Linked DNA regions of Cricetulus griseus. The protein of the gene in region 2 binds, or shares a complex with, the protein of the main gene of each other region. Links are inferred from orthologs where the notes say so. Each region holds a gene or a part of one and is shown on either strand. Other genes may lie near its edges.

Region 1 (7,471 bases), on a different chromosome or scaffold from region 2:
CTTCTTTCCAGGCTCTGCTGCAACAGTCCCCAGAATGAGGGACACAGTGTACTACATCAGCATTTTATCAATTCCCCAGCCAGATCTTAGACTATAACACTCTTAAGTATTTAAACTCACTTCAGAAACTTCTAGAAAGAAAAGGTTTTGTGGTCTCAGCTCCCTGGAACTATATCTATGAGTTCCCCTTTCCCCTGAGCTCCAAGCAACCCCCAATTCTAACAGATAGTGTCCTGGTGTCTTACTGTCCTTAGGGTCAACCAAGTCATTTGATCTACTTAAATGTTCCCCGCTTCTGTTGCAATTAATGACATACATTCTTACCATAGCTCACTGCTTTGCTCTTTAATTTTATTAACACTATTTATTTATTTATTTATTTTGGGCTTTTGTTTTTCTGAGACCAGGTCTTGCTCTGTAGCCCAGGCTGGCCTGAGATTTACAAGAAATTCTCCTGCCTCAGCCTTACAAATGCTAAAATCACAGGTAGGCATGGGCCACCATAAACAATGCCAAAAGCTGCCACATGGAGCTTCTGCTTCTATTTATTGGTCACTTTTGGCTGTTTAACTGAATCTAATGGTAGAAGCTGGAAAATATAGCAGGTGTGTGTGTGTGTGTGCGCGCGCGCGCTGCATAAGCATGTTCTGTGCTGTTGGGCCAATCGGTTCTCACCATGGCTTTGATCTCGGAAGGACCTGTAGCCACTTCTCTCTGCAACCCTCCATGCATGTCCTAGAAGCCTGGCCTCTTATCTTAGGCTTACTTACTCAGCCATAGCACCTCAGTTCCATGTTTTCAAAGCACTGCAATTTATTGCCAGAATCCACTGGGGCATATTACCCATGCTGAGAGAGGGCTTGTAAAGCTTTTTGTCCATTTCAATAGTTCAGGTGGCCGTTATGTGAAAATAGCTATGTTATGACCATAGGTATTCTGGCAGTAAATTTTGTAAGGAAGGGGGGTATCATCAACACATACATCTTAGAAATGAATGACACACATGCTTGTGCTAAGGGGAAAACCCACAAGCACCAGGGTACCCCGTTGGGATGCCCAAGGGAGGCAGTGGGCCAAGTGCGTGCCTCAGAGTCAGCTGCAGGTGCCATTGCCCAGAGCGTTGCAAGCTCTGCCCAGTAATTACAATCATTTTTTAAGTAGTGGTCATTTACTCCCTCAACCCTGAGACAGACACAAGCCAAGACAGGCAGGGATATCAAAAATTCATCTCATTTACTCTTTGGAGCCAGTGCTAGCACTAGCTCCATTTTACCGGTCCGAACAGATACTCTGGGAAGTTAACTATGCTTACTAGGGGCATACAGCAACAAACAATAACAATAACAATAACGAAACAGCCTACAGTTAAAGCCCGGGGTCTGAGTGTTATACTTGGTTCCTTCACTGGGGTTTCAGGGAACTAGATGGGGGATATCAGCTAGCAGCCCTGCTGATCTGTGGAGAATATGTTCCATGACTTCCAGTGGACACCTGAAACTCATGAGAGGACTAAGTCGCTTATATGCATTTATTCTTCATATGCCTTGGAGCACAGACCCCTAGAACTCAAATTCCTCTCTCCTTGAATGTTTCTGCCTCCTTTGATCACAGTTCTTGCTGTAGGGCCATTATTAAATTAAGTAAAGGTTAACAGGGATACACTGTGATTCCATGACAGTTGTGATAACCAGGAAGCTACTAAGTGGCTCACAGAGGAGCAATGTATACAGTGTGGGCACCCTGGGTGAGGGATTTCACACCCAGTAGGAGCAGGATGAGACAGTATATGACTTCATAATACTACTCAGCCTGGCACAATTGAGAGCTGATGAATTATTCATTTCTGGAATTTTCTATTTAATATTTTAGGATCTTAGATGACCAAGGGTAACTAAAACCTCAGAAAGTGGAGTTATGGATGGGGGCAGGGGATTGCTATATTTCAATCTGTCCTTCGCACATCCCTGCCTGCCATTCATCTTTTTGACTTTGGAAAAGTCGGCTCATCTTTCTGAGATTCATTTGTTTTCTCTTCTGTAAAACTCAGATTAAAAAGAGCATACCTTTAAGCAAGCACTATAAATAATATATAAGCAGTGTGCTCATTTTTTGCTGTACTGCCAGAAGGTGAGTTATACTAATATCTCCACCGATGGATGGCCAAGCATTACCTGTTCCCACCAAGACCCAGAAGAGGAAGAACACAAAAAAGGAAAAGTCAGTTTTTCTACTGTCTCCACACTCTTCATCCTAATACTTATGGATATCTTTATTCTTCCAGCTCACACACACACGTCCTTAGCGTGGATCACTGGCTAAGACTTGCATACATTTCACTTTATTACTTTTGCCTCATGCATCTCATCAAACCGGCGTTTCTTAATCAAGGATCAGCATAGTGTTAATTTAAAAACTCATGGCTCCATGACTGAAATTTCCAGCATTCTAAGTGAATGTGCTGCGTTCTTTCCTGCTTCCATGCCTTTGCAGTTCTGGTCTCTTGGCCACATAGGGCAACTGTGTTCTACTCAGCCCCTTCTCCGTCTGGAACCCTTCCCAGGCAACCTCCTCTGGGCTCCTGCGATGTCTCACACTTGTCTTCTTGTGAAGCTCCATCTTCCTGCATTGAAACGGCCTACTTTGCTTGTCTGTCCCTCCTGTTACACAGAGGCACTAGAGGGTAGGAAGTATCTTCCGTCCTTGGGGCACTGTGCCTGGTGGACAAATGCTGCTTGGACTCAGGTCCCCACTGGGAGAGGAAGGGACTTATAAGTCAGTAATGAAGGCCACAAAAGACAGCAACAGGGGGCTCCTGGAAGAGTGACAGGAAGGGCCAGGCAGCACTGGAAGGAACACTTCACAGCTCCTCCAGCTCTTTCACGTGCATTAGCTAATTTGATCTTCATCCGAGCTTGGATATAGGTGGAGTATAGGGAGAAAGGTGGAGTTTTGAATGGTTACGTGAGACACCTAAATTTAGGCAATGAGGAAACAACTACATTCCAGCCAGACCTTAAGAGTTGGTCCTCTTTCCCTTGAAAGTATACAATAAAGCCCCCCATTGTCATCACATCCATCTGACAAGCACTGCCCCCTATAATCTACAGGATACATCACTGTGGCTTTATTGACCTGTCAATAATGTTCCCAGGGGGATGAATTTCATTAATCCAGGTTCCATAATGCATTGTCTTGACTTTGAGACGATGGTAGCTAGCTAGGGAAGAAAGCAAATCTTATCCATCCATGTCCAACAGTGGGCTGGCAGCAGAGCCGACAGGGTGGATTTATACTGGGCTCTTGAAAAGTGTCATTCCTTCTGTTTGCAGGCCCAAGAAGATCCCAGGAAGGAAAATGTGCTGGAGACCCCTGTGCCGGTTCCTGTGGCTTTGGTCCTATCTGTCCTATGTTCAAGCTGTGCCAATCCAGAAAGTCCAGGATGACACCAAAACCCTCATCAAGACCATTGTCACCAGGATCAATGACATTTCACACACGGTAGGGAGACTCTAGGGGACAAAGGAGGGAGAAACACATCAAGCACTTTCTGAATGCCAGGCACATCCTGGAAGCTGACTATTTATAAGCCTAGGGTGTCCATTCTTTCTGGTCATGGCTCTTGACTCCTCTGCCTCCTGGAATCCAGAGCTGAGTGGTTCCAGTTCCAAATCCAGCACCCAGACCGCTCAACTGTGGTTCTAATTCTAAGCCACTTGAAGGGATCTGACTTTGTCATACTCTCCCTTTAAGAAACCATAGGTTCTGTGACATCAGAAGGCCACCTATGTTCATTTTCTCTCTGCCACAGGAAACCCTGCCCTCAGCGGTTTAGCAGAGCATGTGAGGCATACCTAAGGGGAACTGTGGTCCGTCCCTGCTCTGCAGACCACTATCTCTTCTCCTCAGCCTATTGTTTCTGTTTCTTATTCTCCTTCCTTCCCAAAACTACTTCCTTGAATCCTAGTATCCAGGACCACAGGAAACTCTAAAGGTCATGGTGTCCCATTGACAGGTGGCCAGACTCCCAGCAGTATCTCCACTGGGCAGTCTCTACACAGGAGGGTCATTAGGTTCTAACAGTTTTAGTCACAACTTTTCCTGCCTTTGCACACCCTCATTTCAAAGTCACACAGAAGAGCAGTCTTCATCACCTTTCAAATGCAGTCATCATGGGAGACCCAACTACCCAAATGTGGGTAGCAATGAGAGAAGGTTGCTGAGGTGGGAAGAGCCCTTCCTGGAAACCAGATTCCCTAGAGTGGGGGGAGGGGCACAGCTTTGACCCTAAGGAGGAAGGATTACATAAGAATATGACTGGGAGGGAGAGATCTGATAAGGGTGAGAGGCTAGAGTCAGAGTAAGGAACAGAGAACCATGGCTAGTCCCTCTCGGATGCCATTTGGAGAAAGGAATTACCCAAGAAGATTAGTCACAAGTGAAGGGAGAGGTGGCTCAGAAGTAGCAGAAATATGGGAGACAAGCTCAGTGGCTCATCAGGCAGCTGAGCACGGGAGATAAGGGCCTGGACCCGGAGGGAGAGGAAGGAAGGAGGCAGCCTAGGCTCACAGATGTGATGGAGGGCTTTGCCAGTCGATTCCCCTGCCATCTCCTGAGTATCTGCTGTTCCCCTTCCTCCCGTACAGCAGTCGGTATCTGCCAAGCAGAGGGTCACTGGTTTGGACTTCATTCCTGGGCTCCACCCCATCCTGAGTTTGTCCAAAATGGACCAGACTCTGGCAGTCTACCAACAGATCCTCACCAGTCTGCCTTCCCGAAACGTTGTGCAAATATCTAATGACCTGGAGAACCTCCGAGACCTTCTCCATCTGCTGGCCTCCTCCAAGAGCTGCTCCCTGCCTCCGACCAGTGAGCTGCAGCAGCTAGAGAGCCTGGATGGTGTCCTGGAAGCCTCACTATACTCCACGGAGGTGGTGGCACTAAGCAGGCTGCAGGGATCTCTGCAGGACATTCTCCAACAGCTGGACCTTAGCCCTGAATGCTGAGGCTTCAAGGGCCTCCCAAGAACCATGTTGAAGGAAGAAACCTTAGCTTCCAGGTGTCTCCAGGAGGGGAGAGCCATGCGTATACATCTCTCATCCAGGACTCTGTCCACATCTCTCACTCCTCTAGGCCACCCTTCCAAAGGCATGACTCCACAACGCTTGACTAAAGATAGACGCACCATTCCATGAGCACTAGGAAGGCCAGTCTGCAGAGGTGATTCTCACCTAGTTCTACAGCAAGTAGTGATAAGAAGCATCCTGTCCCTGCCCTGTTCTACCCGCCTCTTGGTACATGCTTCACTGTGGTCCAGGGGATATGAGGAAGGGGTGGGCAGAGTCTTTGGATGGTCTCAGTGTCTCCCGGGGAGCACCATGAAGGCTGCATCCACACAGCTGGAAACTCCCAAGCAGCGCATGTTGGAAGCACTTATTTATTTATTCCGCATTTTACTTTGGATGGATCTGAAGCAAAGCATTGGCTTTTTCAGGCTTTGGGGTCAGTCAGGGTTAGGGAGGCTCCTGGGATGCTGTTTTCAACTCCAAATGATGGGTCTGCCTGAGGTAAACCTATTTTGAGTGACTGGGGTTGGGCTCGCCTGAGCAAGAGCCAGCCAAGGTGGCTCTCGAGTCTGTCCTCTGGTCACTGGTTTCTTTTCTATTGTGACTGACTTTATGCAAACACTTTTGCAGTGGCATTGCCTGGAGCATAGGCTAGATTATCGAAAGAAGATGAATTTTGTCAAGTGTAATATGTATCTGTGGGCACGTGGGGGTAGGGATGTGTTGAGCAAGGGAGAAGGACTCAGAATGTGTGAAAAGCATATTTGTGGTAGGCTTTTCTGAAAGGGTGAGGCAGTCTCCTCACCTTCTGAAACCACCTAGTGTGGTTTTTACGAAAAGAACCGTTTGGAGTGAACTAGGCACCCATGGAGGGGGCTAAAACCACAGACCATTTTATTGGTACATTGCTGAGCTCGGGGAGTGAGGGTCCCACAGTTGAGATAGTGATTCCCAAGAAAAGGGTGCCTGGTGTGGCCCTCCAAGTTGTCCGGGTTGATCCCACAATGGGTTTCTAAAACTGGCAGTAACCCTGGTAGGTGTTTGCATGTCAGCATGTGGTTCTCATCTGGTTGGTTCATCCAAAGTAAAACCATGTTGACCACCCATTCTGTGGGGAGTTTTGTTCCAGTGGGAATGAGATTGTTCAGCTGATGGTCCTGAGCCCTGAGCCAGCACTGCTGAGGAAGTGCCAGGGCCCCAGGCCAGGCTGCCAGAATTGCTCTTCGGGCTGGAGGCCACGAGGATGAACGAAGGGGCTTGGGTTTTTCCATCACCCTGCACCCTTTTGTCACCATCCCACTGTGGGTGGTAGATCAATGCAAGAAAACTTGATGGAAAAAGCAAGACACTTTAAGACTGAGCGCCACTTGGTGCTCAGACCCAACTGGTGCTGTGGGCTAGAGAAGCCCACCAAATAAACACAAAACTCAGGGGCTCATGTCCCTGCAGTAAGAACCTACTCACTGGTGTGCCAAGGGGGATACTTCACCCGGCAGCGCCACACAGCTGAGAGGACAGTGCTGCCTTCAGCAGGTGGGAAACAGCCTGAGCTGAGCGTGACAGTGCCCAGGGTAACCTCGCTTGCACTCTATAGCATTTGCATACTTTTCAGGGCACATTAGCATCCACTGCTATTGGAGCACATCCTGTTGACACAGGGTAACTGGGATTGTTAAAATAAGAAAATACAGGTTGAGGATCCCTTTTCCAAGATGCCCGGGACTAGAAAGCCTTGGATTTTTGAGTCTTTTCAGGCCTAAGTATCTTTGAGTAGATATAATGAGATATCTTGGAGGTGGGACCCAAGGATAAACATGAAATTCATTTGTATTTCATAATACCGTAGACACACAGCTTAAAGGTAATTTTATACAGTGTTTTTAAATAATGTTATGTGCATGAAACAAGATTTCACGGTGTGGAGTTTTCTACTCATGGCATCATGTCATCACTCAAAAAACACCGGGTTTTGAAGCATTTTTGGATCTTGGATTTTCTGTTAAGAGTTATTTAGACTACACTTGAAACTATAATGGCCAACAGGTGGCAAGGCCAGACTAGGGACTGGTTTCTCATCCCCGAAGGGTGTCCCTCCAGCCAGGTGATGCACTCACTCAAGGAGGTGATCTGGATCAGGTTTGGGGTGCTGGATAGAAGAGAGGCGTTTGGAGTGGACTTTGGAGGAGGTGAGGAATGTGAGTTTCCTACTAGAAGGATGTTGTTGTATTGGAAGTTGGGGCGTAGAGAGGTAAAAGTATGAATAGGAGGTGAAGGAGAAGACGGACAAGGAAGAACGGGACGGAAAGGAAAATGCTGGAAGGACTTTATGGGCCACTGAAGTGGATACTGAAAGAGTCCCAAGTGCCACAGTCCAGAACAGAGGCTTGTGGTGGCTGGTGTCAGACTGT
Region 2 (7,567 bases):
TGGTCCTCCATGGGAAAAATTGATAGTGTTGGGCAAATGCGTGTTCGGGATGTAAGTCAAAATTAGGTTGAGAGCAACAACATAAGATGTTACAAAAAAAAAAAAAAAAGGTAGCTGGGTGTGGCACATGCCTTTAATCCCAGTACTAGGGAGGCAGAGGCAGGCAGATCTCTGTGAGTTCAAGACCAGCCTGGTCTATGTAGTGAGTTCTAGGCCAGCCAGGGCTACAAAGGGAGACCTTACTGAAAGAAAGGGGCAGGAAGGAGGGGAGAGAAGAGGAGAAGGAAAGAGAAACAAGATAATCATCGTTTATGCATTTCTATATTTTTATGTATTTCATCTTTAAACAGGTCTTTATTTTTTTTAAAAAAATCATGTTAAAAATAGTTTGTGATTCAAGTCACCTTTGCCTCTATTTTCTGCTAATTAAAGTCTGTTTTCTCAGATTATAGAAAGCAAGCTTCTAATGGCTCAGTCAGCAGGTATTCTCTGACCTTGCAAAGTGACACTGATAACATACTGCTGAGTTTTCCATTGTACCTCTTTGCTTACAAAGTAGAGATAATCCTTTTTTCTTATGTATTACACAAAGCTACAGGCACGAGCCAATGAATGAGAAAATTTTAAAAAGGATATTACTATATAAATATGATTAATACTATTTATATTTATATATGATAAGTATGATTAATAAATAATAAATAGTAATATGGTTAATACTGCTGTTTAAGTTACTATTACATTATATTATTTTTTTAAATTTTAAAATTTAAATTTTTAAAATTTTTTTAAATTTTTAAATTATTTTTTTAAATTTCTAGTAAAACCACTACCTCCATCTAGTGTGAAAGCAGAGATTACTACAAACACTGGATTATTGAAAATATCTTGGGAAAAGCCTGTCTTTCCAGAGAATAACCTTCATTTCCAGATTCGATATGGCTTAAATGGAAAAGAAATACAGTGGAAGGTACCTTTTACTTCTAATTGTTTTCTTCTCTGTCCTCTCTTCTTCTCTCCTTTCTCTCCCCCACCCCTCTGTAAATTGGAGTCACTCTGTAGCCCAGGCTGGCCTTCAACTTGTAGACCTCTGATGCTTTAGCCTCCAGAGTGCTGGGGCTAATAAGTGCTATTTAAATGTTTTATGAACACATATTAGTTATACTTTATAATGGGTTTCACTATGATATTTTCATATATATAATGTATTCTGATCATATTCACCTCCTCTTACCACCTCTTATCCCCCCACCACTGTTCCCTTCCTGTTCCTAGCCAGTCACCTTTCTCCATGTTTGGTAAGGATTTTTTCCACAGGAACATGGGCAGCTTATCAGTGGTTCTACCACTAAAGAAACTATCTCATCTTCCCCCAGCAACAGGGAAATCCTCAGGGAGAAGTGGGGGCCCTGTGAGCCCTTCTCCCTTCCATGACCAACTGTACACAGAGGTTTCTTTCCCACCCGCCAGTTCCTGAATAAATACTCAGAGACTTAATAGTAACTATAATTGTTTGGCTAATGGCTCAAGCATATTATTAACTAGCTCTTCCAACTTAAATTAACCCATTTCTATTAATTTATTTATTGCCATTAATTTATTTATTATGGCATTACCTCACATCTGCTTCTCTGGCAGCTGTATAGCATCTACCGGACTCCGCCTTCTTTCTCTCTGTATTTCTCTTTGGATTTCCCAACTGATTTTCTGCCTGGCCATTGGCCAAAACAGCTTTATTCATCATCCATTAAATATTAAAACACGTATTTGTAGCATATAGAAGGACATCCCGCAGCAACCAACCTCATACATGTCTTGTGTAGGTAATCACAACTGCTGAGAGTTAAACATGCAGCAGCATCTTATAATGTTTCAGAGTTTTGTTGTATCACATTGTCACTGGCATACAAATAGTACTCTCCTGTATCGTGTAATTGCTTTCATTACTTAGATCAATGGTTCTCAACCTATGGGTTGCAAACCTTTTCACAGGAGTCACATATCCTATAGTTACATTATGATTAATAACAGTAGCAAAATTACAGTTATAAAGTAGCAATAAAATAATTTTATGGTGGGGGGGTCACCACAACATGAGGGACTGTATTAAAGGGGTTACAATATTAGGAAGATTGAGAAGCACTGACTTAAATTGTAAAAGTTTAATCCTTGCAAGGAACAAAAATAGCATACTTGACAGGACATTTTCCCAATGAGCTGTTCATGAAACAGTGATTGCCTGGCTAAATAGGCTCAGGAAACTCTACCTCATTGTACCTTCCTGGTGTAGAGATGCAGTTTATGATATTTAAGATTTGGAGAAGGCCTTCACTGAAGAAACATATTGCATCCTTTGTTTCCACACTCACTTTTCAGGGACCCACATTTCATCTAAGCTTCTGATATCTTTCAGTATGTTCATCAATAGTACATTTTGAAAAAGACTACTTTTATTAAACAATCATAGAGTTGAGTGTGCATATGGGAAATTTTGTGTCAGTTTTTCAAGGCAGCTTGCTAAGATCGGAAATACAAGAAACCCTAATTCCATTGTTAGCACAATGACATCAGTTGTGGCGAATGTGAGTCTTATCCACTTGATTCTCTAGAAGGGACCCTGTCTGACTGCCATTTTTGAATTCTTGTCTTTGTGGTGGAGAGGATCAGATGGTAAGGATTAGCAGTAGGGCAAGAGTGTGTTTGGAATTGACCTTGCAAGTGCAATGAGTCAAAAATGGAAAGACCAGGTGTGGGAGGCAGCACTCCTCTGGCTGGCCTAACATCATGAGTTTCTGAAGTGAGAAAATACAGCATCACTCTATCTTAAGTTTGGAATAGTGTTAAGGTTTAAAATACAAGCACACTTCAGGACCCAAGGAGGCATACATATTGACAGTATGACTTCTGTTCCAGATGCATGAGGTATTTGATGCAAAATCAAAGTCTGTCAGCCTGCCGGTGCTGGACCTCTGTGCAGTCTATGTGGCACAGGTGCGCTGCAGGCGGTTGGATGGACTTGGGTACTGGAGTAACTGGAGCAGACCAGCCTACACACTTGTCATGGATGTAAAAGGTCTGTGAACACTTGTTACTGTTTCTTGAAAGTACAGAAGCATGTGCTTCAGATGTGACTGAAAACATTCCTTCCAAGAACATGTGTCCAACTTGGGCTCCCTGTCATTTTGCAGTTCCTATGAGAGGACCTGAATTTTGGAGAATAATGAATGGTGATATTACTAAAAAAGAGAAAAATGTCACCTTGCTTTGGAAGGTATTTCTAATTTCTATCTTTTATTTTATTCTGACGTTATGTTGTTCTATTCTTTGTTTATAACCCTGTCACTATTAATCTCACAAATGACCCCAAACCTTATGTTTTAATGCATTTTGGAGATGTGGTTGCTCAGAGCTAAGAATCTGGGGTTTTGACATAGTCAGGAGCCTTTATTATTGTCTTAGGTCAATTACAATTGTGCCATTGCTATTTTGGCAAGTCTTGGATTCTTTGGACTTCACATTTGGCATCTGTATCAGGGTAAGATTCCCAAATGATAATTAATGTTGCTTCAAGTCCACGATTTGATTGTGATTGAATCCTGAACAATGTAAACATGGCTTTGCCCTCACACTGTAAGCACGTAAGAAGTAAGAGAGGATTTGAGCTATGTGATGGCATAGGATAAGTGTTTTCTACAATGATGGATAATCAACTTGGAAATGCCAAAGCATCCATTCTTCTAAAGAGTGACTTCTTTCCCAAATAAATAATTTCAGGAGTAGGTATAAAGCTTATGACTTACTTAGGAATAAAATATACTAGGTAGGCCATGTTATGTTTATTATGTAAATGGGAAAGACTGTCAGGAGAATGAAGACATCATTGCAGTAAGGACTCTTCAGCTTCAACAGTAAGAAAGCAAATAGCCCAACGAAAATATAGACCAAATATCTGGTCTACATATCTAACCAAAGGTGACAGACCCACAGGAGACAAATAAAAACATGATAGGAGTCTTAGCATTGTTGGTCATTGTTGTGGATTTACAAAGTAAAACAACAGTGAGGTATAAGTCCATGTCTATTAGAATAGTTATTACTTTTCAAATTGCTGGTTGAGAATACAGAGCATCAAGAAACTTGGTTTGCTGCTCATGGAAATGCAAACTTGTGTAGCCTTGATGGACCATCGTGCTCATAGATGATTATCTGGGTGACTTGAAAACTTTCTCTACATGAAAACTTGCACATGAGTTATTCAGACCACTGTATTCATAATCGTTATTCCAAAGTGAGACTCTTCAGTTGACAGTGAAATGGTAGGCACACAACACTGCACATTTGCACATTAGGACAACAGATAAAAGTATCCAGATTTAAAAAAATCATAGACTGGAGGATTCGAGGATGAAAAACAGATTAGATTATGACCATCACAAGTGTATGAAATTACCTCACTGTGTAGGGCAAGGGAAAAGGCTTTAATTAACTTTGGAAATGAGTCTGATGTGTGGAAGATGTGAGACACTACATGAACACTTTGGAGTTGTGCATTTTTGCAGGGATGTAGGCTAGTAGTTATTACATCAGTGTATGTCTGTCTTGATGGAAAAATTGAGATGAGTGGGCCAGAGTACAGGTTTTTCACTGCTCTCTCAGGAGGCTCCAGACTAGCAAGAAAGTCAGCCATAATGGTTCTTGTAGTCATAGATTGGAGTTAGAGGTCAACATAAGCTCATTAAGGCATAGGTGGGCTCTTTCAGACATATTTAGATATGTATATTTACAGAGGCCAGTATACATGCATATATCCTTGATTTTGTAAGCTAAGAGGGCCTAAAAGTTAAGACTATTCAAGAGGAAAGAGTGTCTCAGTCAAAGAAATCAGGACCTGAGAGAAATGCTTACTTTGGGGCTGGGGCAGTAAATGTACAGGTGAGCCATGAGTATCTTTTAATATTCTTGATTCTTTGCTTATGATTAAAGAATAAATACTAACATATCAAAATGACATAGATTTTCAGATGAAATAAAACTTGTATTTCCTCATAGAAGTTTTGCTTACATCTTACTTCCACCCTACTACCCACAAGCTTGCACCCTCTGCAGAATACCTGCATCTGTGTGAATGTGTCTCTGCCATTTTTCAACTGGAGACACTTGTTCTGTCTGTGTTATAAAATTCAGCTCTTCATAGCTTTCTAAGGGATTGGCAGCATTTAATTTTCCCTGCAATAGGTAAAGGTGATTGCTTGGGAAGTGAAGGGGATCATTGGACTCTCTTTTTTTTGGCGGGGGTGAGACAGGGTTTCTCTGTGAAGCTTTGGAGCCTATCCTGGCACTCATTCTGTAGACCAGGCTGGCCTCGAACTCACAGAGATCTGCCTGCTTCTGCTTCCCGAGTGCTGGGATTAAAGGCGTGTGCCACAGATGCCCAGTGATTGTTGGACTCTTAAGAACAGAAGAACATGGAGCTGGATGGAATGGAATGTGTTGTACACAGGAATCTTTCATAACACAGTATAATATTTTATAGAAAGCCTTACGGCAGAAATGTCCAGGGCCACAAAGACTGCTCAGAGAGCCTCTGTTATTTGTTAACCTTCAAGGTTTCTGTTTTGTTTGCAAAAACTCTTCTTGCGGTAGCTAATCTTCCAAGCATATCCGGGGGAGAACAGTGGTAGATTTACTTGGGTTTACAAAGTGATGATGACTATCTGAGCCTTCTTGTTCCTTCCTAGAACCTGAGTAGTACCTTTGCTTGCTTGTTAGATGAGGAAACTTCTTACCAGTCTTTTTCTACATTTAGAGTAGAGATTCTTAGCATTTTCTATGTGTTCTTCATATTTTGAGTGTCCTGTGTTCTTACTTTATTGTCTTTAGTCTCTGGGTCTAAAGAAAAATGTAAAGAGGGGAAAATAATTTCCCTGTGCTGCACGACTCCTAGATATGTCCATGCCTACTGCATTGCTCAGTTTCAACTCCTGTTCCCACCCCAATGCCTTAACACTAGGTTGGGCAGTGCCTGCCTTTGTCTAACTCCGACTTCCTGGTGGGAATGTATAATCAGAATTCTATGAGCTCAGTTGTTATAAATGCTGTGGTCCATGTGCTAATTCATTTTTGTGTTTACTCCAGCCCCTGATGAAAAATGACTCCCTGTGCAGCGTGAGGAGGTATGTGGTGCAGCATAGTACTGCCCACAATGGGACGTGGTCAGAAGACGCGGGAGATCAGACCAATCTCACTTTCCTGTGGGCAGAACAAGCACATACCGTTACGGTTCTGGCCATCAATTCCATTGGTGCTTCCCTTGCAAATTTTAATCTAACATTTTCATGGCCAATGAGTAAAGGTAAAGATGCTGAGAAATGAAATAGTTTATTGCCCTATTTATTTATTTATTTTGAGTTTTCAAAGCAGGGTTTCTCTGTGTAGCTCTGGCTGTCTTGGAACTTACTCTGTAGACCAGACTGGCCTCGAACTCACAGAGAACTCCCTGAGTGCTGGAATTACAGGCATGTGCCACCACCACCTGGCTTATTTTATTTATTTCTATGGTGGGTCATACAGAATCCTACTATTATTATTATCATTATTATTTTAGCCTGACTGTTAAATTATGATGTAGCTTGATTGCATGACTTTTTGTGTAGCACTGCAGCTATATCATTCTTGCTCCTTCCCCTTCAATGCCTCCCATGTATCGCCTCTAAAATTCATTATCTAGTCTTTATATATATATATATATATATATATATATATATATGAGTCTATTATATTTATAGTCTATATATATAATATATATATATATATATATATATAAATGAGTCTAAATAGACTCATATATATATGAGTCTATTTAGCTTTGCTCATACGTACATGTGTTCAGGGATGACCACTTGGGATTGGGATTAGTTAACCTGTGCAGGAGCTCATTCATGGAGGAGACTGATTCTTCTTCTCTGAGTATCCACTGATTTTCTGCAGCTCTTCCTCTAGGGGTGGGTGTGAGGGCCTCAGAACTGGCACAGAACACAGCCAGATACCAAGTTCTCAGCACAAAGGAGATTCAGTACCCCAGAAGGATAAGTGGGGACCAGAAGGCTGCCTCTGGATGGACAAAGATATTAACAGGTGACTCTGCAGGAGTGGTTTTTAAGGAGAAAAGGGGGAAGTCTGGTAGGATGAGTTGGTAAGCTCTGGTTGGACATGTTAGTCAGTGTAGCCAAATAATAAATCTTGTTTTGCTGGATCTTGGTGTTTGGATAGCTGGACCTTGGAGTTTTAGTCAGGCATAAGGAAGTGGCCAAATAGAGGAATTTAGAAAGTGCTGTGAACTTTAAAGAAGGGATAGGACATATTCAAACCATAATCAAAGACTTCATGAAATAAGTGACGCTTGGATAGGTTAGTAGGTGGGTAGAGACACCAGAAATGAGTATTTTTTCCATTTAAAATGAAATGGTATCTTTTATACAAAACACAGATTTTATGCTCCTATTGAGGGTGGCTCTTGGGACAGCAAGGTGGCCCTGTAGATAAAGGCACCAGCCACCAAGCCTGATAA

The links. The genes of interacting proteins can lie anywhere in the genome.
Region 1: the proteins of Lepr (region 2) and Lep are in contact, whole or in part, in a crystal structure (PDB 7Z3R), measured with the Mus musculus proteins. The link is inferred for Cricetulus griseus from reciprocal best matches to the Homo sapiens genes LEPR and LEP. Residues at the interface, in NP_666258.2 of Mus musculus: Tyr439, Leu440, Thr441, Arg466, Ser468, Leu469, Tyr470, Gln499, Pro500, Ile501, Phe502, Leu503, Leu504, Ser505, Val560, Phe561, Glu563, Asn564; in NP_032519.1 of Mus musculus: Lys26, Val27, Asp30, Thr33, Leu34, Lys36, Thr37, Thr40, Arg41, Gln92, Gln96, Asn99, Asp100, Glu102, Asn103, Asp106, Leu107, Leu110.

The regions. Positions count from the first base shown.
Region 1 is NW_023276806.1:198,734,583-198,742,053, reverse strand, and holds Lep (leptin), read left to right. Parts: upstream 1-3,301; 5' UTR 3,302-3,354; coding exon 3,355-3,498; intron 3,499-4,643; coding exon 4,644-5,003; downstream 5,004-7,471. UniProt on the Homo sapiens protein: Key player in the regulation of energy balance and body weight control. Once released into the circulation, has central and peripheral effects by binding LEPR, found in many tissues, which results in the activation of several major signaling pathways.
Region 2 is NC_048595.1:47,869,812-47,877,378, reverse strand, and holds part of Lepr (leptin receptor), read left to right. Parts: intron 1-821; coding exon 822-970; intron 971-2,913; coding exon 2,914-3,073; intron 3,074-3,188; coding exon 3,189-3,271; intron 3,272-6,135; coding exon 6,136-6,352; intron 6,353-7,567. UniProt on the Homo sapiens protein: Receptor for hormone LEP/leptin. On ligand binding, mediates LEP central and peripheral effects through the activation of different signaling pathways such as JAK2/STAT3 and MAPK cascade/FOS.